Linked DNA regions of Anolis sagrei. The protein of the gene in region 1 interacts with the protein of each later gene in a biochemical or structural test. Links are inferred from orthologs where the notes say so. Each region holds a gene or a part of one and is shown on either strand. Other genes may lie near its edges. The genes, in order: TOPBP1, TICRR and ATRIP.

Region 1 (8,034 bases):
CATCATGATTATTTATTTTCTTTTCTGGGCCCCGTACAACATTGTTCTCCTGCTCCAGACGTTCCAAACATCATTTCGTCTTGACAACTGTTATGACTATAGTAATTTGGGGATTGCGTTACAAGTGACCGAAATATTAGCAATGGCCCATTGTTGCATTAACCCTGTGATCTACGCTTTTGCTGGTGAGAAGTTTAGAAAATATACATGTATATTTTTCCAGAAGCACATTGCTTTTCCTCTGTCAAAACACTGCCGTTTTTTGTATACAGAGCCTCTGGAACGTGCGAGTTCTACATATTCCCATTCCACTGGAGAGCAAGACCTTTCAGCTGTGTTGTAAAGGATGTTCAAAGAGAACTCAACCTGACTAATACAGTTTTTCATCTCTCACTATGTGTAGGGCTCGGACTATAAACAGTTGAGCCTTTATAACAATGCAGCTTTAATTTTGGAGAACACCTGGATCTAATGGACCTTGGTTTCTATCATCTGACAAGGTTTACCATAAACAAATCTCAGGTGCAGTGGGACTATAGACATTATATTATCAGAGTTTCTGGAAAAACAGCAGTAAAATTAAGTCTTCATTTAAGCAAGTCATATACATTATATAATCTCTGAAATGCTTGGGCATGTATGTTTTAAGACAAGATAAATATGGGCTGAACCTGATCTCATATGAATCAGAGTTGATTAAAAAGCCAATGATGTTTTAAAAGGGATTTGGATGTTTACATTTAAAATTGGATTTTAAAAATTATTTAAGATTAATTTCAAAGTTTTCCTAACTTATTTTTTAAAAGAGGATCCTAGAACAAAAATATTCTATTAATATGAAAATGCCAGTTCATGGAGACAGGACAAAAACCTGTTCTGCAGCTGGTACATATGAAGTACAGTCTTGTCTCTCCTTAAGTGGTAAGACAGAAAATGCCACTGAATGCACAATTTGGGGATATTGGGTAGATCTGAGTAATGAAGGAAGAACCGGGATCCTGTTTTTTTAGGAACCAGAAACTAAATCAGAAGTCAGTCTAGAACAGTGTTTCCCAACCTGTGGTTCATGGACCACCACTGGTCTGCAAGAACGAAAATATGGTCCACAACCTCACAATTACTACACCGTTGCCTCAAAACCACGCAGGAATGAGAGCGACTGGTCTCGCAAAACCTTATAGTATCGAGGCAATGGGTATGTCTGGAGGGAAGAGGCTGACGACCCATAAAAGATTACTTCTACCACATCAGCTCTAGATTTTTAAATATGGTTTTCTGTGGGCGAGCAGATGGCGACTACTAAATAGCTCGTGCATTGTATCAGAAACTAAACCTGATGTGGTCTAAGGTAAAGGTAAAGGTAGTCCCCTGACATTAAGTCCAGTCATGTCTGACTCTGGGGTGTGGTGCTCATCTCCATTTCTAAGCCGAAGAGCCAGCGTTGTCCGTAGACACCTCCAAGGTCATGTGGCCAGCATGACTGCATGGAGTCATGCAGTCTATCCAATGCATGTGGTCTATCCAATGCAATTTTCTAAATCGGCATCCCAAATAAACAAACTGAATCTAAAGTTGGCCAAAAACTGATTTGTAACCCTTTTGGTAATAATGTTGGAGTCTTGTCCCTGGTCAAAGTGGTCCCTGCTAAAAACAAAACAAAACAAAACAAAACAAAACAAAAAAGGTTGGGAACCACTGGTCAAGAGCAATTGTTTAATGCAGGGGTCCTCAAACTGTTAGAGGTCCAGATTATAATTTGAAAAAAAAAACATGAATGAATTCCTATGCACACTGCACATATCTTATTTCTTCTGAGGAAAAAAAAAACCCACTTTAAAACAATACAATAATTAAAATGAAGAACAATTTTTAACAACAAATATAAACTTATTATTTCAATGGGAAGTGTGGGTCTGCTTTTGTTGTTGTTGTGTGCTTTCAAGTCATTTCATACTTAGGTTGACCCTGAGTGAGGGCCGGGTAAATGACCTTTGAGGGCCGTATCCGGCCCCCGGGCCTTAGTTTGAGGTCCCCTGGTTTAATGTTTGTCTATCTTCTAATGAAGCCTGCATCTCTGAATATTTATGACTGAATGGTAAGAGTTATATAACTCCTCCTGAATGTGATGAAGTGTCGGGAGCTGAATAGATCACCTACCAACTATGAAAGCAACTCGGAACATTCATTTGTTCTCTATCAGCTTCTGGTGGGGATTTGGAAAATTACATCGAATGCGCACAGATGAAAATCAAATAGAGACCTGATATTTCGGAAGAGAAACTTTCCCCACAAATTTGGTTTTGCATCTCATAGCTATTTCAAAAATTGTTCCCTCTACAGAACAAACAGGAACTATATTGCAGACTGGATTTGTGAAAGGAGGGAGAACAAAAACAGCATTAACTCACTTTCTAGTTTTCCTGTTAGGAAATTTAAGTGCTATACGATTTTTGCTTCATAGATTTGATGAAACTGGTCATTGAATAGATTCTATAGAGGAGATTAAGTATGCCAGATTGCACGGGTATCAGGAACCTCTGTGTGATAAGTGGTTTAGAGTTGGGAATCTATACAAATAAAAATGTAATGTTCGTTTGTGGGATTAACATAATTCAAAAACCACTGGACGAATTGACACCAAATTTGGACAACATATACCTAACAACCCAATGTATGTCCTTCACTCAAATATTTTTTGATTTTGTCTTTTGGGAGTTGTAGTTGCTGGGATTTATAGTTCACCTACAATCAAAGAGTATTCTGAATTCCACCTATGATGGAATTGAACCAAACATGATGCACGGGACTCCCATGACCAACAGAAAACACTAGAAGGGTTTGGTGGGCATTGCCCTTGAGTTTGGGAGTTGTAGTTCACCTACATCCAGAGAGCACTTTGGGCTCAAACAAGGATGGATCTGGACCAAACTTGGCACGGATATTCCATATGACCAAATACGAACACAGATGGAGTTTGGGGGAAATAAACCCTGACATTTGGGAGTTGTAGTTACTGGGATTTATAGTTCACCTACAATCAAAGAGCATGCTGAAGCCCACCAAGGACAGAATTGGGCCAAACCTCCCACACAGAACCTCCATGAGCAACAGAAAATACTTATGGCCATCCAGTCCAACTCCCTTCACCAGGGCAAGAAAACATAATCAAAGCCCTCCTGACAAAGAGCCATCCAGCCATAGATATAGATAGATATATATGATTCACGGAGCCCCCGGTTGCGCAGTGGGTTAAAGCACTGAGCTGCTGAGCTTGTTGATCGAAAGGTCGCAGGTTCGATTCCGGGGAGCGGCGTGAGCTTCCGCTGTCAGCCCTAGCTTCTGCCAACCTAGCAGTTCAAAAACATGCAAATGTGAGTAGATCAATAGGTACCACTCCGGCGGGAAGGTAACGGCGCTCCATGCAGTCATGCCGGCCACATGACCTTGGAGGTGTCTATGGACAATGCCGGCTCTTCAGCTTAGAAATGGAGATGAGCACCACACCCCAGAGTCAGACATGACTGGACTTAATGGCAGGGGACTACCTTTACCTTTTTATATGATTCACACACAGAGAGATATATAGTATCCTAGATTTGAAAGGGACCCTTAAAGAAGGACAATGATATTTTGCATGTTCCAGAGTGGGCAAACCAGACACTCTCCACATCAACACTGACAAAGAAACAGCAAGAAGTGCTGTTTACCCACAAGCATAAAATCTATTTTATTAGCATAGTACAATATCAGTATTAATTATTACTATATTGTATTAAACCATTACATTGTAACATTATTATTAATATTACATGTAATACAAATATATATTTATAATATCATATTATTAGTAGTGTTATATTGCATTACATTATAATATTATAGATATTATATGTATATATACGATATATTATTTTATATTATATTATATTATTAACATAGCACAGGAGACAAGGTGAATCTATATTAAACTACATTTATTTATTTGTCATGTCAGGGCAACCAGTCAATTATATTACATTTCTAACAGAACAAAGCAAACAAACAGGCAAAATACAAAATTTGTGAGTTTGGTAGTTGATTAAATGTCCTTTGACCAGTATCTGGCCACTTGGAGTGCTTCTGGTGTTGCTGCAAGGAGGTCATCCATTGTGCATGTGGCAGGGCTCAGGGTGCATTGCAGCAGGTGGTCAGTGGTTTGCTCTTCTCCACACTCGCATGTCGTGGATTCCACTTTGTGGCCCCATTTCTTGAGGTTGGCTCTGCATCTTGTGGTGCCAGAGTGTAGTCTGTTCAGCCCCTTCCAAGTCGCCCAGTCCTCTGTGTGCCCAGGGGGGAGTCTCTCATTTGGTATCAGCCATTGATTGAGGTTCTGGGTTTGAGCCTGCCACTTTTGGACTCTTGCTTACTGAGGTGTTCCAGCAAGTGTTTCTTCAGTGGTTCTCAACCTGTGGGTCCCCAGGTGTTTTGGCCTACAACTCCCAGAAATCTCAGTCAGTTTACCAGTTGTTAGGATCTCTGGGAGTTGAAGGCCAAAACATCTGGGGACCCACAGGTTGAAAACCACTGCTGTAGATCTTAGAAAACTATGTCTAGATTTAAGTCGTTGACGTGCTGGCTGATACTCAAACAGGGGATGAGCTGGAGATGTCTCTGCCTTGGTCCTTTCACTACATTATATGAGTCTACACTGACCATCCAACGCGGTTTCACACTGCACTGTTTGGCAGTGTTGATAGCACCAGGATTTCCTCTCTGAAACTTCCCCAAAGGAAGCGACACCCTCTCTTTGGCAAGCTACTTTTCACAATACCGGTGGTCGCACAAGCGCCGGAAGAAAACTCAAACAACAAAACCACCCTATCCCTTCGCCCACAAACAATATTTAAAGGGGCCACGCTTACTATCCTTCTCAACCAATCGCCTCTGCCTTTCCGTACCTTGCCCCTTTAAGGGAAACTTTGCCATGTTTGTAGGCCGGCGACGTCACGAGCCGTCCCTGGCGCATGCGCCCTCCGTCCAGGAGTCTTTTCCCGCCAGCCTTTGGAAGAAGAGAGTTGTTGGTGAGAAGGGGAGAGGGGGTCGCTTCCTCAGGCCGAGGACGTGCTGCTGAGGTAATCCCGGAGGAAGGCAAGGGGAACCTGTATCCTTCCTCGCTCTCTCTCTCTCTTTGGGCCCAGAAATGAGAGGGGCCTCCTCCGCCTGAGAAATACTACAGCTCCTCAGGGGCCTCAGCCAGGAAGACCTCCAACTTTTACCTATTACAGGAAAACCAGCTGATTCCTAATCCATCTAAATAGGCCTGGGCAAACTTTGGCCCTCTGGGTGTTTTGGACTTCAACTCCCAGCATTCCTAACAGCCTCAGGCCCCTTCCCTTTTCCCCCTCAGCTGCTTAAGCCATAACATTTATAGCTGTACATTTCTTATGAAACTGACAGCTGAGCTCCACAAAATTTGTTCCTATTTAATAGCCTGAGATAGTTATTTTAGTTTCATTTTCCCTTAGATCAGTGGTTCTCAACCTTCCTAATGGCGTGACCCCTTAATACAGTCCCCCATGTTGTGGTGACCCCCAACCATAATATTGTTTTCATTGCTACTTCATAACAGTCATTTTACTACTGTTACAAATCATAATGTAAATATCTGATATGCAGGATGCATTTTCATTCACTGGACCAAACTGGGCACAAATACCCAATACACCCAAATGTGAATGCTAGTGGGGTTGGGCGAGGATTGATTTTGTAATTTGGGAGTTGTAGTTGATCTTCTGAAGAGGCCCTGCTCTTGGTCCCGCCTTCCTCACAGATCCAGTTGGCGGGAACAAGAGACAGGGCCTTCTCAGCGGTGGCTCCTCGGCTATGGAACACCCTTCCTAGGGATATTAGATTGGCCCTCTCCCTCCTGACATTTCGAAAAAGAGAAAACCTGCCTATTCGAGCAGGCATTTGCAGACGCAGTATAACTCTTTGATTGATACTCATGGAATGACAAGACGATGTGACGGAAAATGATTTTAATGAGACGCTGAGAATTGTATTTTATGGTGTTAATTGTTTATTGTTTTTACATGGCTATTTTATATGTAATTGTTTTTGAATGTATTTTATCTTGTGGGGCATTGATTGCCAAAAGTAAACCTCCTCGAGTCATCTTTGGGCTGAGAGGGGCAGTATACAAATATAGTAAATAAATAAATACACAAATAGGCTTTTTGTTAATGTTTCCTTTGCCTATATAATGTTACATCTTCTCTTTCTTCTTTCCTCATTAGTTAAATGATGAAAAATAACAAGGAACCATATCTTGTGAAGTTCATCAAGTCTCCAGAGAACTCAGATTTTTTCCTTCAGGCCCTTGAAGTAAGATAATTTTTACATATGTGAGGCGCTCTCTGAAAATAAGACTGAGCCATGTTTGGATGCAGCAAAAATGCCTGATGACTTTTCCTGTTGAAGTTTTTATCTTACAGAAGGCAAAAATATTGTGGCTTTCAGCAGATTTTCCAAAATGAATGCAGAAAAGTTCTCCCTGTCTCCTTCCTCTTTCTTAGCTTCTCTCATGCTGTAGGATGGGTGCAAAGCGAGCAATGGGAGGTATTGGCATTTTAGTTCAGCCAAAACCTATATACTCCTGTGTCATATAGGATTGTGATAATTTAATGAAAATAGCCCAGGGTGCACCTGCTATTTTAAAAATAATAATATTCTATGTGGGGACTAGGACATTAGGCAGTAAATAAAATGTCCAATAAAATGTCTGTAAATAAAATGTCCAATGTCCACTGTGTGTGAGTGGTTTGGGAACTTAAAAGAAAGTACTTCATCTCACAATGTATAGTTAAACTTTTAACTACATTACTAATGAGGATAGCTATACATTCTAGCACCAACAACAGTATACCTCAGTATATCAGTAGCTGAGGAGCATAAACATATGGGTGCATTTTGATTTATGTCCTGTTTGCTGCCTTCTGTGGGCAGTTTGATTAGTCATTGCATGAACAGAATGATAGACTAGATAAATACTTGGCTCTGATCCATCATTGCTCTTATCTAATATGGCTTTTCTTCCATTCTTAACCTTTTCCCTCAGAAGTGCTGGAAAAGTCAATTGAGGCCAACTGTCAGTAGTAGGCAGGCTAGAGCCAACGATGGGCCAAGATTTATGGTCTTGGTACTTATGACTTCCGTGGATTGTGTGGCTCTCTCTTTCCTTGTATCACCCATTTTTCATCTGCTTGTGCACAAATGAAATGGAGGAGTTGTTGATTCCCAGCATTGAGATCTGGGGAGCAGAAGTGGTCCTAAAATATCCAAAGACTTGTGAAGCTGGGGGCTTCATAAATTGACTGCATGGAAGGGTGTTGTAGGCGCAGCCATTGAAGGAGAAAATGTGCCTAATTTTAGATTCAAGGAATGGAGTACAGCAATGTAAATGAGAGCAATTTAAATGACAGTGGTGGAGATATGTAAACATTTAATTTGAGCAGTCTGGCAGCAGAGCAAACATATTCCTTACCATCAGCATTGAAGTGATTTCTTTTTTGTCTTGTCAGGAGCGACTTGAGAAACTGCAAGTCATTTCTGGTGTGAGAGAATTGGCCGTCTGCAAGGACGTTGCCCAGGGGATGCCCGGATGATTTGATGTTTTTATCATCCTTGTGGGAGGCTTCTCTCATGTCCCCGCATGAGGAGCTGGAGTTGATAGAGGGAGCTCATCCGCCTCTCCCCGGATTTGAACCTGCGACCTGTCAGTCTTCAGTCCTGCCGGCACAGGGGTTTAACCCACTGCGCCACAGGGGGCTCATTGAAGTGATGATCATCAACCATTAATTTTGCTAGGCTGGCCATATTGTCTGAATGCCCAATCACTATCTCTCAAAGCAATTACTTTACTCTCAGCTCAAGAGTGAAAAACAGAATGTTGGTGGACAGCAAAAGAGATTTAAAGATGGGTTTAAAGCTCATCTAAAATGTGGAATAAACACTGAGAACTAGGCATTCCTGCCCTCAAGCATTCTAACTGGAGAT
Region 2 (7,821 bases), on another chromosome or scaffold:
TGTGGCATCCCAATAAACATAACATTGTGATTATATGGGAGGTTTAAATGCTAAGGGAATTTAAGGTTATAAGGTGATAGTGCAGGCTGTGGTAAACTTCAGCCCTCTAGGTCAGTGGTTCTCCACCTTCCTAATGCCGCGACCCCTTAGTACAGTTCCTCATGTTGTGGTGACCCCCAACCATAACATTATTTCCGTTGCTACTTCATAACAGTCATCCTAGTACTGTTATAAATCATAATGTAAATATCAGATATGCAAGATGTATTTTCACTGGACCAAACTGGTCACAAATACCCAATGCACCCACACGTAAATGCTAGTGGGGTTGGGGGAGGACTGATTTTATAATTTGGGAGTTGTAGTTGCCGGGATTTATAGTTCACCTATAATCAAAGAGCATTCTGAACGCCAACAGCGATGGTTTTGAACCTAATGTGCCACACAGAACTCCCATGACCAACGGAAAACACTGGAAGGGTTTGGTGGGCATTGACCTTGAGTTTGGGAGTTGTAGTTCACCTACATCCAGAGAGCACTGTGGACTCACACAATGGTGGATCTGGACCAAACGTGGCACAAATACTCAATATGTGCAAATGTGAACAATGGTGGAGTCTGGGGAAAATAGACCTTGACTTTTGGAAATTGTAGTTGCTGGGATTTATAGTTCACTACAATCAAAGAACATTCTGAACTCCGCCAATGATAGAATTGGCTCAGATGTCCCACATGGAATCCCCATGACCATCAGAAAATACTGTATTTTCTGATGGTCTTTGGCGACCCCTCTGACACCCCTTCGTGACCCCCTCAGGGGTCCCGACCCCCAGGTTGAGAAACACTGCCCGAGGCTGTTAGGAATTGTGGGAGTTGAAGTCCAAAACATCTGGAGGGAGGGCCACAATTGGCCCAGGCCTGATCTAGATACAGTCCTCCTCTTGATGGGAGCCTAGAATCGCATTGGCCTTTTTAGCTGCCACACCACACTGCTGCTTTATGCTCAGTTTGAGGTCTACTAAAACCTTAAATAGTTCCGGCCCAGTTTATCTGTCCGAACGTATCTCCCCCTACATACCGTCTAGGAACTTAAGATCATCCGGGGAGGCCCTGCTCTCGCCATCGCAGTCATGTTTGGTGGGGGACAAGAGACAGGGCCTTCTCCGTAGTGGCCCCGCCAGCTGTGGAACTCCCTTTCCAATGAGGTCAGATCTGGCCCCTTCCTCCTGACCTTTCAGAAGGAACTTAAATCCTGGTTATAGGATCAAGCGTTCACAGAACAGTTTGTTTACTGGGAAAGACAAGATTTATTGGACCGGACTTGGACTGCTTTGGATGACGATTTTAATTTTGGTGGTTTTAATTTTGTGGATATATTTATTATGTGTTTTATATTATGTCTGGCATTGAATTGTTGCCTGTTTGGAAGCCATTCTGAGTCCTTCCGCAGAGGTCGAGAAGGACAGGGTATAAATGTTTTAATTAAATAAAATAAAAACTAAGGCCCCTTCTACATTGCCATATAATCCAGGCTATCAAAGCAGATAATCCACCTGAAGATGAGGAAGATGTTCCATCTGAACATGAGGAAGAACTTCCTGACTGTCAGAGCTGTTCAGCAGGGAAACTCTCTGCCGCGAGGTGTGGTGGAGGCTCTTTCTTTGGAGGCTTTTAAACAGAGGCTGGATGGCCATCTGTCAGGGGTGGTTTGAATGCGATTTTCCTGATTCTTGGCTGGTTGGTCCAGCTAATTGTGGATTTCAATGGCTTCTCTGTGTAGTCTGACGTGGTGGTTGTTGGTGTGGTCCAGCATTTCTGTGTTCTCAAATAATCTGCTGTGTCCAGGCTGGTTCCTCAGGTGTTCTGCCATGGCTGACTTCTCTGGTTGAAGGAGTCTGCAGTGCCTTTCATGTTCCTTGATTCGTGTTTGTGCAATGCTGCGTTTGGTGGTCCCTATGTAGACTTGTCCACAGCTGCATGGTACACGGTAGACTCCTGCAGAGGTGAGAGGATCCTTCTTGTCCTTTGCTGAATGAAACGTGTTGGATTTTCTTGGTGGGTCTGGAGATTGTTTGTATGTTGTGTTTCCTCATCAGCTTCTTGTCTCACCAAATGCACCACCAAACGCAGCATTGCTCAAACACAAATCAAGAAACATGAAAGGCACTGCAGACCACTTCAACCAGAGAAGTCAGCCATAGCAGAGCACCTGATGAACCAGCTTGGACACAGCAGATTATTTGAGAACACAGAAATGCTGGACCACGCTCACAACCACCATGTCAGAATACACAGAGAAGCCATTGAAATCCACATGAAGCATGTGGACAATATCAACAGAAAGGAGGAAACCATGAAGATGAACAAAATCTGGCTACCAGTATTAAAAAAAAACTCTAAAATTACAACAGCACAACAACAGGAAGGAAACAGCCAGGCACATCTTAACACCTCTCAACAGGGGATTTTCCCAGGCTCAGCCAGGCCTTCAAATGCTAATGAAGGTGGTCAGGTGAAACATTCACGCCTAGCTCCAGCAGAGAAGAGCTCCTTGCCCAACCCCAGCCATTCCACAGATATATAAACCCCTTTTCCTAGTTCCAACAGACCTCACTACCTCTGAGGATGCTTGCTTGCCATAGATGCAGGCGAAACGTCAGGAGAGAATGTCTCTAGAACATGGCCATACAGCCTGAAAAAACCCACAAGAACCTAATAAATAAATCTGTTTTGAACTGGATTATATGAGTCTACACTGCCATATAATCCAGTTCAAAGTAGATTATTGTATATGGAAGTAGAAGAGGCCTAAGACTCCTCAATCCCTCAAAGCCCCGCACTCACCATTCCTCTTCAGGAAGCTGGCCTGCTTCTCGTTAGTTAGTTAGTTCTTGGCTGATTATGAGCCAGTCTCCGTCCTCCTCGGGCAGCCATGGCATCCCGGCACGGCGCTCAGGGCTAGGCCTCACCACCACAAGAAGCCTCTCGCCATTATCATTCCCCGACGTCGCTCTCAATCCAATTGCTGGCGCGCTCGGCGCTCCGCTTCCTCATTGGACGGCGCTCACTCCGACGCCGCTCTCTCATTGGCTAAGACCTCGTCTTCGGCTCCTCCCTACTCTCGCGAGATCATGTCAAAATCCCACCCACTACTCCTGTCAGGTTTTTCGAAGGGGATATCAGTTTGTACGCATGCGCGCCGTGCTACTGAAAGGCTGTATTGCAGAGGCAGGAACTTCGCCTTCCTGGGCTGTCCTTTTGGGCTTGGAGAAGGGCCCAGCCCAGGACAACCCCAAAAGGCACCTTTCCCCAATGCTCTGGAAACCTTGGCCTAGGGGAAAGGAACCAACTAATGCAGTTATTAGGTTCTTGTGGGTTTTTTCGGGCTATAGGGCCATGCTCTAGAGGCATTCTCTCCTGACGTTTCGCCTGCATCTATGGCAAGCATCCTCAGAGGTTGTGGGGTCTGTTGGAAATAGGAAAAGGGGGTTTATATATCTGTGGAATGACCAGGGTGGGACAAAGGACTGTCTGTTGGAGCTAGGTGTGAATGTTTCAACTGACCACCTTGATTAGCATTGGATGTCCTGGCAGTGCCTGGGGCAATCTTTCGTTGAGAGGTGATTAGGTGTATGTTTTTCCGGGCTATATGGCCATGTTCTAGAGGCATTCTCTCCTGACGTTTCGCCCGCATCTATGGCAAGCATCCTCAGAGGTAGTGAGGTCTGTTGGAACTAGGAAAATGGGTTTATATATCTGTGGAATGACTGAGGTGGGGCACAGAGCTCTTCTCTGCTGAAGCTAGGTGTGAATGTTTCAACTGACCACCTTGATTAGCATTGGATGTCCTGGCAGTGCCTGGGGCAATCTTTCGTTGAGAGGTGATTAGGTGTATGTTTTTCCGGGCTATATGGCCATGTTCTAGAGGCATTCTCTCCTGACGTTTCGCCTGCATCTATGGCAAGCATCCTCAGAGTCAGAGATGGCCTGACAGTGCCTGGTGCAATCTTTTGTTGAGAGGTGATTAGATGTCCTTGTTTGTTTCCTCTCTCTTGTTGTGCTGTTGTAATTTTAGAGTTTTTTAATACTGGTAGCCAGATTTTGTTCATTTTCATGATTTCCTCCTTTTCAATGGCTTCTCTGTGTAGCCTGACATGGTGGTTGTGAGAGTGGTCCAGCATTTCTGTGTTCTCAAATAATATGCTGCGTCCAGGTTGGTTCATTTATTTATTTATTTATTTACTTACTATTCTTGTATACCGCTGTATCTCAAGCCCGAGGGCGACTCACAGCAGTTTCCAGACAGCAAACAGCAAGAACAATAAAAACAGCAATAATTAATATGCAAAACAGTTAAATTACACATTTCCATTACTAGCTAATAACCATCATCAAAACACAGTTATCACAATTGCCTCATCATCCAAGCGTGATCCAAATTCATCGTCCATTGTTCCGTTCTTATGTTCAAATTACCAGAATTGCACTGAATTACTCAAACGCCTGCACAAACATCCAGGTCTTCAAGCAGGTGTTCTGCTATGGCTGATTTCTCTGGTTGAAGTAGTCTGCAGTGCCTTTCATGTTCCTTGATTCGTGTTTGGGCGCTGCATACCATGCAGCTGTGGACAAGAAGTCTACATAGGGACCACCAAACGCAGCAGCCTTGCCCAAACACGCATCAAGGAACATGAAAGGCACTGCAGACTACTTCAACCAGAGAAGTCAGCCATAGCAGAGCACCTGAGGAACCAACCTGGATAATCATCATCATCATTATCATCTTTATTTATACCCCGCCACCATCTGATGGAGACTCGGAGCGGCTTACATGAGGCCAAGCCCAAACAACAAATTACAACAGAGTAAAACTGAAAAGGCAAACTGAAAATGCAAACAATAAACAACAACATCATAATGACAATGCTAAATGGTTTACGGACTGGATTTGGTGAACACTGACCACAAGATGTTTTTATTGCTGCTAGTATATTGTTGATTGTTTTAATTAGTGATAACTGTGATATTATATGGTAAATTTGTGTATTGTATATTCCATTGTATGTTGTAATTATTAGGCATCGAATTGTGCCTTTTGCAAGCCACCCTGAGTCCCCCCCCAGGGGGTTGAGAAGGGCGGGGTAGAAGCACCCCAAATAAATAAATAAATAAATAAATAACATAAAACATGTGAATACATAACAATATAAAATTGCAATAAGCACAATCACAGTAACAATGGGCGGGCTATATGTAATGATTAAAAGAAAACTAATAAAAAACTAATTAAAAACTCGGGCAAGATAAAAAAGAAGCAGATTATAAATTAGTATAAAACTGGAAAAAAAATAGAAGGTGTGCTGGTGGCTAAATATCTTTTGACCAAAAACGGGCAACAGCAACAGCATTGTCTGTAACCTCCAACAGTTCCTCCTCTGTACATGAGGCAGGGCACAATGGACAAGCATATAGATGCGGAGTTGTCTGTTCTGCTCCACAGTCACACAAGGTGTGGGATTCTTTTAGGTCGTGCCATTTTGCCAGGTTGTCTTTTGATCTGCCCACTCCGCTTCTGAGTCTATTCGGGGACTTCCAGGTTGCCCATTCTTGGTTTGCCCCTGGAGGAAGACCCTCTCTCATGGGGGGCCATCCAGTTGGGATTTCCTGGTGTAGCTGCCCAGAGGGATACCCTTGCTGTTGCCAGGCGGATGCCAAGGGGAGTGGTAGTTCTCATAAAGCGTTTCCTTGATTTGAGTCTACTGGGAAGAGGTTGGTAGCCATGTAGTGGATGGCTTTCACAGTGTTCAACCTTATTTCTCTCACATTTAGCAGCAACTTCGGAGGGGGGGGGGCAATGCCAGCTAGCTTGTAGAGCAGTGTTTCTCAACCTTCCTAATGCCGTGACCCCTTAATACAGTCCTCATGTTGTGGTGACCCCCCAACCATAAAAGTATTTTCATTGCTACTTCATAAATGTAATTTTGCTACTGTTGTGAATCATAATGTAAATATCTGATACACAGAATGAATTTTCATTCACTAGACCAAATTTGGCACAAATACCCAATACGCCCAAATTGGAATACTGCTGGGGTTGGGGGAGATTGATTTTTTTCATTTGGGAGTAGTAGTTGCTGGGATTTATAGTTCACCTACAATCAAAGAGCACTCTGAACTTCACCAACAATGGAATTGAACCAAACTTGGCACACAAAACTCCCATGATCAAGAGAAAATACTGGAAGGGTGTGGTGGGCATTGACCTTGGGTTTGGGAGTTGTAGCTCACCTACATTCAGAGAGCACTGTGGACTCAAACAATGATGAATCTGGTCCAAACTTGGCACGAATACTCAGTATGCCCAAATGTGAACACTGGTGGAGTTTGGGGGAAATAGACCTTGACATTTGTGAGTTGTATTTGCTGGGATTTATAGTTCACCTATAACCGAAGAGCATTCTGAACCCCCACCAACAATAGAATTGGACCTCATAGAACCCCCATGACCTACAGAAAATACTGTGTTTTCTAATGGTCTTTGGCGACCCCTCTGACACCCCCTCGTGACCCCCTCAGGGGTCCTGACCCCCAGGATGAGAACCACTGTTGTAGAGTTTATCAACAGATGTGGGCTTAAAACATCCTGTGATTATTCTGCATGTTTCATTCAATGCTATGCTCACCTGCTTTGCATGGGCAGACTTATGACAAACAGGGCAGGAATACTCAGCAGTTGGATAAGACAAGGCCAGGGCTGATGTTCTTACTAATTTTGGGTCTGACACCCCCTCGTGATCCCCCCCAGGGGTCCCAACCCCCAGGTTGAGAACCACAGTTGTAGAGTTTATCAACAGATGTGGGTTTAAAACATCCTGTGATTATTCTGCATGTTTCATTCAATGCTATGCTCACCTGCTTTGCATGGGCAGACCTATGCCAAACAGGGCAGGCATACTCAGCAGTTGAGTAAGACAAGGCCAGGGCTGATGTTCTTACTAATTTTGGGTCTGCACCCCATGTGTTGCCAGTACGTTTCTGCAGGATGTTATTGCGTGAAGCTGAGAAAATGTGACTTTCCCAATGGGTTCCCATGTGCAAGTGGAAATTATAACCCTGGTTTCCCAGAATCATAGTCTAATCCTCCAACCACTACAAATTTGCATTAGGTATACATTTTAAGAACATGTTATTGCGTGAAGCTGAGAAAATGTGACTTTCCCAATGGGTTCCCATGTGCAAGTGGAAATTATAGCCCTGGTTTCCCAGAATCATAGTCTAATCCTCCAACCACTACAAATTTGCATTAGGGGTATATTTTAAGAACACTGCCCTCCTGATTCCACTTCTTTTTGACCATGCAAATGTTTTTACAGTCATTTCACAAATGATTTAGGAGCCACAATGTCACATTGGGTTAAACCCTGAAGGTCGGCATTCAAATCCACGAGATGGGGTGAGCTCTTGCCTGTCAGCCCCAGCAGAGAAGCCTCCCACAGGATGATAACACAACCAGGAGCCCCCTGGGCAACTCGCTTCTGACACAAAAACAGTGATTTAGCTCTTCTTTTCTTGCCACTAGATGACACTGTTTGCCCACTTTATCAAGATATTACAGTTTCAAAAAAGGTGCCCCTGTTCCTTGTAACAGAAGTCTTTGGCACCTTGAACTAGCTCTTGACAGATTGACGTATTTAATGACAAAACAACAAGGAAGAGCACAGAAGGAAACGGTTTGGAGATTAATAGACAAATATGTGGAAGAGGAGAAGAAATAAATTAAAAAGAGAAGAAGTAAAAGTGAAAGGAAAATATGTATATACA
Region 3 (7,793 bases), on another chromosome or scaffold:
AATGCTTTTGATATGAAATAAATAGTGCTCCAATCCCCACTCTGCCATAGAAACCCAATGGATAATATTGGTGAAGTCGTATTCATTTCAGCCTAAGAGGAAGGCAATAGCAGACATACTCTGACAAAAACTTTGCCAAGAAAACCATATTATAGGGCCTCCTATAAGTTGGAAACCATTGGAAAACACCAAACAGCAAAACAACTAATGATGTTAAGCCCCATCACTCATGATCTCCAAGAAAATTCTCAGGAACCATTTGTATTCCTTGGCCTTATCTTGTTATGTGCTATTTCTTTTATAACAATTGTATTTCATTTTAGCATTTTGTCAGGTGTAATGTCTAATTTATGGTTGTCACGGGCTTTTATTAACCCTAGTGCTTTATTTTAGCATCCGCACTGCCTAAAGAGGGGTTTGTGCCCAAAAGGCAACCTCAACAGGTTTACTATCTTTTAAAGAAAAACAGTAATAACAGTGTAAATCATCAATCCTCATTGCTCCAGACTCCAGTCTCACTGAGAATACACATACCAAATACTTGCTTAGATTTTGTCTCAGTTGCAAAGTTGAAATTCCATTGCTTGATGTGATCTGCTGCATTGGTGGTACTTTTTGACAGTGAAGACAGTTCTCTATTTTGCTCTGCTCTTGATGCATTTGTGTTTACAGAAACGTTTTGTGTCATTGCCTGGGAAGCAATAATATCAATTTCCTCCAAGTCATCTGCAGTGAAATCATCACTGTCCTGAAATGGATCTTCCATTTCTTTATGCCCAGTTGTGGCAAGGGTTTTATAGCGCTTATTGGGTGGAAATCCATCTCCATGGTTTCCAGTGTTACTTGCAGTTCTCTGGAAGGATGAAGTCGAAGCAGTCACTCTGGCCTGATCCACACCGTATAATATAGAGCTGTTTCTCTTCTTATTCCCAAATAAATGGTTCACTGACATTCTGTGTCAGGAATTATCCTAGCAAAAAGAAACCACAAAACAAGGTTAAAGCTGCCTATTTAAAATCAGTTCTGGGACCTCTATTTCCTCAGTACTTTTCAATGTGTTATTAAAGCCAACAGTAATCACCTTTTCAAGGAAATGATCAGGCCTTGCTCACAAATGCTCATGAGTGGGACCTAAACAAACCTACTGGAAGGTCTAATGCAGCGTTTCTCAACCTAGGGGTTGGGAACACTGGAGGGTCACCAGGGGGTGTCAGAGGGGTCACCAAAGACCATAAGAAAACACAGTATTTTCTGTTCGTCATGGGAGTTCTCTGTGGGAAGTTTGGCCCAATTCTCTCGTTGGTGGGATTCAGAATCTCTTTCATTGTAGATGAGCTATAAAGCCCAGCAACTACAACTCCCAAATGTCAAGGTCTATTTTCCCCAAACTCCACCATTTGGGCATATTGAGTATTCGTCCCAAGACTGGTCCAGGTCCATCATTGTTTGAGTCCACAGTGCTCTCTGGATGCAGGTGAACTTGTTGTTCATTCGTTCAGTCGCTTCCGACTCATGCACCAGCCCACGCCAGAGCTCCCTGTCGGCCGTTACCACCCCCAGCTCCTTCAAGGTCAAGCCAGTCACTTCAAGGATGCCATCCATCCATCTTGCCCTTGGTCGGCCCCTCTTCCTTTTGCCTTCCATTTTCTCCAGCATCATTGTCTTCTCTAAGATTTCCTTTCTTCTCATGATGTGGCCAAAGTACTTCAACTTTGTCTCTAATATCCTTCCTTCCAATGAGCAGTCGGGCTTTGTTTCCTGAAATATGGACTGGTTGGATATTCTTGTGGTCCAAGGCACTCTCTGAATTTTCCTCCAGCGCCACAGTTCAAAAGCATCTATCTTCCTTTGCTCAGCCTTACCTATGGCCCAGCTCTCACATCCGTAGGTGACTACAGGGAATACCATTGTTTTAAGTATGTGGATCTTCATTGCCAGTGTGATGTCTCTACTCTTCACTATTTTATCAAGATTGGTCATTGCTCTCCTCCCAAGAAGTAAACGTCTTCTGATTTCTGCAGTAATCTTTGCACCTTGAAATACAAAGTCTGTCACAGCCTCCACGTTTTCTCCCTCTATTTGCCAGTTATCAATCTGTCTGGTTGCCATAATTCTGGTTGAATTTATGTTTAACTGCAATCCAGCTTTTGCACTTTTGAACTACAACTCCAAAACTCAAGGTCAATGCCCATCAAACCCTTCCAGTATTTTCTCTTGGTCGTGGGGGTTCTGTGTGGGAAGTTTGGCCCAATACTCTCGCTGGTGGAGTTCAGAATGCTCTCTGATTGTAGATTAACTATAAATCCCAGGAACTAAAATTCCCAAATGACAAAATCAATCCTGCCCCCTACCTCACCAGTATTCAAATTTGGCCATATTTGTGCCAAATTTGGTCCAGTGAATGAAAATACATCCTGAATATCAGATATGTACATTACGATTCAAAACACTAGCAAAATTACAGTTATGAAGTAGCAACAAAAATAATTTTGTGGTTGGGGGTCACCACAACATGAGGAATTGTATTAAGGGGTCGCGGCATTAGGAAGGTTGAGAACCACTGGTCTAATGATTTGGACAAGCCGCAGGAACAAGGAGAATATCATGCCTGTAAATCAAGATCTGACTTTAGTGATATTTAGTAACAATCTGGATAACCCACAAGAAGAATGACATTTCTGGAAGTTTAGCAGAAGTATCACCACTACAAACCTCTTTAAAACAGACTGATATCCAAATCGTCACAATGGATACACACTTTAGAATTAATCCAGTTTGGCACCACTTCTAACTGCTGTGTCTCCGTGCTATGGGATCATGGGAATTGTAGCTCCACAAGGTCTACAACTCCCATGATTCCATAGGTGTGAGTAATAGCAGCTCAAACGGTGCCAAGTCGCACTCATTCTAGGGTGCAGATGCTCCCCCACGACCTCCCTGCACTCTCTCTGGACTTACCTTGGTTTTCCCGCGTCAGGAGAGGAGGCTCTGCAAGAAGGGCAGCAGCATCTGCCCGGCATCGCTTCCCCGGTCTCTGTCAACCAATAGGAAGCCAGCTCTCTCCCAATGACGTCCCATCCGGTCTATTGGGGGAGGGACGTGCAAAGAAAAGGTGACGCGCGAAATGGAAGGAGCTCACCCATTGGACGGGAGGGATTTCTTTTCCCTGTCTTTAGGATTCGTGACTAAACGCCAAGGATCCTTGCAAGCACAAAGTGTGAGGGGGTAGGGGGGCAGGTGGATGTGTTTTTTAATCTCGCCTCTTCCCACCCACACTATAGAAATAATCTAGTTTGGCATAGACACTGAGAACTGGGAAGCCCTGGCCCTTGAGCGCTCCAGCTGGAGGTCAGCTGTGACCAGCAGTGCTGCAGAATTGGAGGAGGCACAAGTGGAGGGTGAAAGAGTGAAACGTGCCAGGAGGAAGGCGCGTCAAGCCAACCACGACTGGGACCATCTTCCACCTGGAAACCAATGCCTTCACTGTGGGAGAAGATGCGGGTCAAGAATAGGGCTCCACAGCCACCTACGAATCCACAAGGAAACCCATCATAGAAAATCATCTTACTCGTCCAACGAGGGATCGCCTAAGTCAAGTCAATCTAGTTTGGCAGCCACTTTAAATGCCTTGGTTCAATGTTATGAAATCATGGGAGTTGAGTCCAGAACCTCAATCCATGGCTGATGTCAAATGAGAGACTCCCCCCTGGGCACACAGTAGACTGGGCGATTTGGAAGGCGCTGAACAGACTGCGCTCTGGCACCATAGGATGCAGAGCCAACCTTAAGAAATGGGGCCACAAAGTGGAATCCATGGCATGCGGGTGTGAAGAGCAAACCACAGACCACCTACTGCAATGCAACCTAAGCCCTGCCACATGCACAATGGAGGACCTTCTGATAGCAACACCAGAGGCACTCCAAGTGATCAAAGGACATTTAATAGAATGCCAAGTTGGCAAACTTTGTGATTTTTTTAAAAAATCCAATACAACTGTTTGGTTTGCTCCTGACACAATACATAAATAAGATGGGAGTTGTATTTTTCACAAGTGGCTGAGGGGGAAAAGGAAAGGGCCTGAGGATGTTAGTAATGATGGGAGTTGAAGTCCAAAACACCCGGAGGGCCGAAGTTGGCCCATGCCTGGTGTAGATTAGTATCATAAGTATAATGTCATTCGTTTTTTCTGTATTAATATGTACTGAAAGACGTTTGTTTTGTTTTGTCTAAGTCACAGCCACAAATGCATAAGAACAAAATCAGTTATGTGGTCCCTTCTGGAAAACATCTGCTTTTGCATAAATGTGCATAACCTCCCAACCTTTTGTCCTACAGGTTTGTGGATTTCAGCTCCCAGAAACCCCAACCAGCTTGGCCAACTGAAATGCACAAAGAGTGTAATCTTCTGACCACTTCTTTAGGAATATTGAACACATTGGGACTTATTTCTGAACCATGTTCCAAGTACTGCAGAGTTACTTACTCTTCAACCACTCCAACATAGAGATTCTTAATATGTGTTTCACAATGTTTATCTGGAAATTACCCTTTGTGGTTTTACAAAGATAAGAGGATTGCAACTTTGGGTCAGAAGATACGGGGAGGCATGGCAGCGTATTCTTCTACTTGGTGTTGTAAGGTGCCTAACTTAATGACCAAACATGGAGCAGCAGTCAGTCTTGCCTCTTTAGATAAGTTATCTAGCTGAGTTGTGCATTATATTATTCCCTCTGGCTGTTATAAGATTGGGGTGGCAGTACAGGAGAACAAGGATAGGCCTGCTAGTTTTCGCTGGACTACATCATTCTTCATTTTTGGCAATGCAGGTCAATAACATCTAGAGGACCTTTTCTAATGGCTTCTTCAACAGAAATTGAGCTATGTGGTTCAAACATCTTTACACCTTATGTCGACAATATTTAGGACAGAGGTTGCAAAAGTATTACCATGCCCTCTGGTAGTTCTACATTTACAATTCCAGGATCTCTGAGGATACTGTATTCCATAAGCCAACAACACCTTGAGGTTCATTTATATGTGAAGCTATCCAAGCAGGACAAGTATTTTCTACCCCTGTGACCTTCTATGAGCCACATGGGCTGTCAAAGCCAAACTCCCCAATCATGGAAATTATCACAAATATATTTCTAGTTTTGAAAGCGCAACTGTATTGGGCTTCCTGCAATATACAGTATTTAAAAGGTAAACTCCAATTCCTTTTTAAGGATTAATGAATGAATTTTATTACAGACCAAGAGTGTAAAACTTTAAAACATTAAAAACAAGAAGTTTTTTTTAAAAAAAAAAACTGTTAACATTAAGACCCGAAGTTCACAACATTAAAAGAAGAATGTCCATGATATGGAGTCGATCGTGTGCTTGGCTTCATATATGACACTGAGTATCTATATAAATAAAAATGTAATGTTCGTTTGTGGGATTAACATAACTCAAAAACCACTTGACAAATTGACACCAAATTTGGACACAAGACACCTACTAACCCAAGGCGTGATCATCACTCAAAAATTTGAGTTTGTCATTCAGGAGTTGTAGTTGCTGGGATTTATAGTTCACCTACAATCAAAGAGCATTCTGAGCACCAAAGATGGAATTGGACCAACCTTGGCACACAGAACTCCCATGACCACCAGAAAATACTGGAAGGAGTTGTTGAGCATTGGCCTTGAGTTTTGGAGTTGTAGTTCACCTACATCCAGAGAGCACTGTGGACTCAAACAATGATGGTTCTGGACCAAACTTGGCATGAATATTCCATATGCCCCAATATGAACACAGATGGAGTTTGGGGGAAATAGATCTTGACATTTGGGAGTTGTATTTACTGAGATTTATAGTTCACCTACAATCAAAGAGCTTTCTGAACCCCACGAACGATAGAACTGGGGCAAATTTCCCACACAGAACCCCTATGACCAATAGAATATACTTAAGGCAATCCAGTCCAACTCCCTTCACCAGGGCAAGAAAACATAATCAAATACTGTTTACACACAAGCATAAAGAAATTACACATATTAGAAACCAACACTTTCTCATGACTTTATTTTTTAGATCACTAGACTGGGCCACAGCAAGGCATGGCAGGGGATGGCTAGTGGATAATAAAACGAGTAAGTTAAAACTTTACCTGCCAAAATCGTCCACAAACTGCTTCCTTATTTTTATAGCTGACACACAAAACATAGCCACTCTATAAATGATCAATGGATCACTATAAGAAGTTTTAGATAATATTTATTTTTTTTATTTCACATATTTGTATCTTGTCCTTCTCGTGCCCCCCCCCCGGGGGGGGGGGGAGGATTCAGTGCAACTTCCCAACAGGCATCTATTTGATGCCAACATACAAATGATAAATAATAATTACAAATAAAACAGTTCATTAAAACATTAATTATTAAGACATTCATTTAAAATCACACAAGTTCATTTCTGCCAGGGATCTTTTATACAATGGGAGTAATAAAAACAGATAAAGTATCCTAATAGATGTGACATTCTAAAAGGGCATGCCTGGTAGTTTCTACTCTCTCCATACCGCATGGGCATACATGCTTATGGTAGGGGATACCTGTAAACCTTTTTAATGTTTTAATTTAACTTTTAATGCACAACTGCATCGGGCTTCGTGCAATCTACAGTATTTAAAAGCTGAACTGCAATTCTTTTTCAAGGATGGTACAAGAAGTCTGGAGGGCTAAACAGCTAAAAAACAACCTTAAAAGGTGCATCCACTCTTATATCCACACTTACAAGCTGTATCCCAAGGTCATACTTCATCTAACCTGTTATAGACACCATTATGTAGATCTTGCCTTTCTCCTCTGTTATTGCTCATGCAATTTTAATCAAGATCTAAAAGACCTTATAGGTTTCTATGTATATATCTTCACTTTCTTGTCTTTCTCTTGCTGCCTGTTTTTTGTGCAGAAAACTGCTCCTGAGTAAAAATTAATCCTTTACATCAGAGAGTGGCAGATGGGGAGAGGGACAAATGGATGAAAATGAACCAATCAATTTCCTTGCCTGATTGATTGGACATTCCTTCCATTTATACACAGAGTAGTTTGGATCCAAGCTTCTTTATCTACAGCAAATATTCTAAACTATTTACTAGATTTCACAAATTCCCAGGATAATGATAATGCATTCCAATTCTTTCCCAAATCAGATACTTTAATCTAAAGTGCCAGTGACATCGCCCAAAGTACACAATGAATCTAGATACTGATTAATTTCTAAGGGTTGAATTTCTCTTTATACCATTAAGATGAATGAGCAGTATGGCCAATGATCTCATACTGGCCATAATTGTTAAAAGTGACTTTTGTGGGCTCAGAAATCATTTCATTCTTTCAAGAATTGTATGCACTTGCTTGCTGCTGAAAATACTAGCTCTGTCTCATCAGTTAAACTGACACAATGACCCAGTCTGTTTAGAACATCAATACTTTTTCTACTTCCAGTAATGCTATTTTTAGCCATCCCAAGCTGGAGATCCTCTGCAGGCTCCCTTTTTCCATTAGTAACTCAATATAACTGTCATGAGTACATTAATTCAGTTTCCTTTTTTCTGAAAAGAGCAGCAGATAGAAAGATCTGGGTCAAAATTGGCTTGCATTCTATCATACATCTCATAAATAAGTAAGAGAACCTTTAACAAGGAATCTTCCAGATTCTGAATTTCTATCACCCCTCACCACTTGCAACACTAACTAGAATTAACAGAAGTTGCAGTTCAACATCTGGAGGACGACATATTCCATAG

What was found.
Region 2: the proteins of TOPBP1 (region 1) and TICRR form a complex in vitro, tested with the Homo sapiens proteins (2 studies listed by BioGRID). The link is inferred for Anolis sagrei from reciprocal best matches to the Homo sapiens genes TOPBP1 and TICRR.
Region 3: the proteins of TOPBP1 (region 1) and ATRIP form a complex in vitro, tested with the Homo sapiens proteins (2 studies listed by BioGRID). The link is inferred for Anolis sagrei from reciprocal best matches to the Homo sapiens genes TOPBP1 and ATRIP.

What each region holds. Positions count from the first base shown.
Region 1 is NC_090026.1:78,150,877-78,158,910, forward strand, and holds the start of TOPBP1 (DNA topoisomerase 2-binding protein 1), read left to right. Parts: upstream 1-5,009; 5' UTR 5,010-5,111; intron 5,112-6,275; 5' UTR 6,276-6,279; coding exon 6,280-6,363; intron 6,364-8,034. Other genes in the region: C-C chemokine receptor type 5-like, read left to right, coding at 1-343. UniProt on the Homo sapiens protein: Scaffold protein that acts as a key protein-protein adapter in DNA replication and DNA repair. Composed of multiple BRCT domains, which specifically recognize and bind phosphorylated proteins, bringing proteins together into functional combinations.
Region 2 is NC_090029.1:34,510,005-34,517,825, forward strand, and holds the start of TICRR (treslin), read right to left. Parts: upstream 3,025-7,821; 5' UTR 2,845-3,024; intron 1-2,844.
Region 3 is NC_090022.1:67,074,809-67,082,601, reverse strand, and holds the start of ATRIP (ATR-interacting protein), read right to left. Parts: upstream 3,069-7,793; 5' UTR 2,959-3,068; intron 971-2,958; 5' UTR 953-970; coding exon 535-952; intron 1-534. UniProt on the Homo sapiens protein: Required for checkpoint signaling after DNA damage. Required for ATR expression, possibly by stabilizing the protein.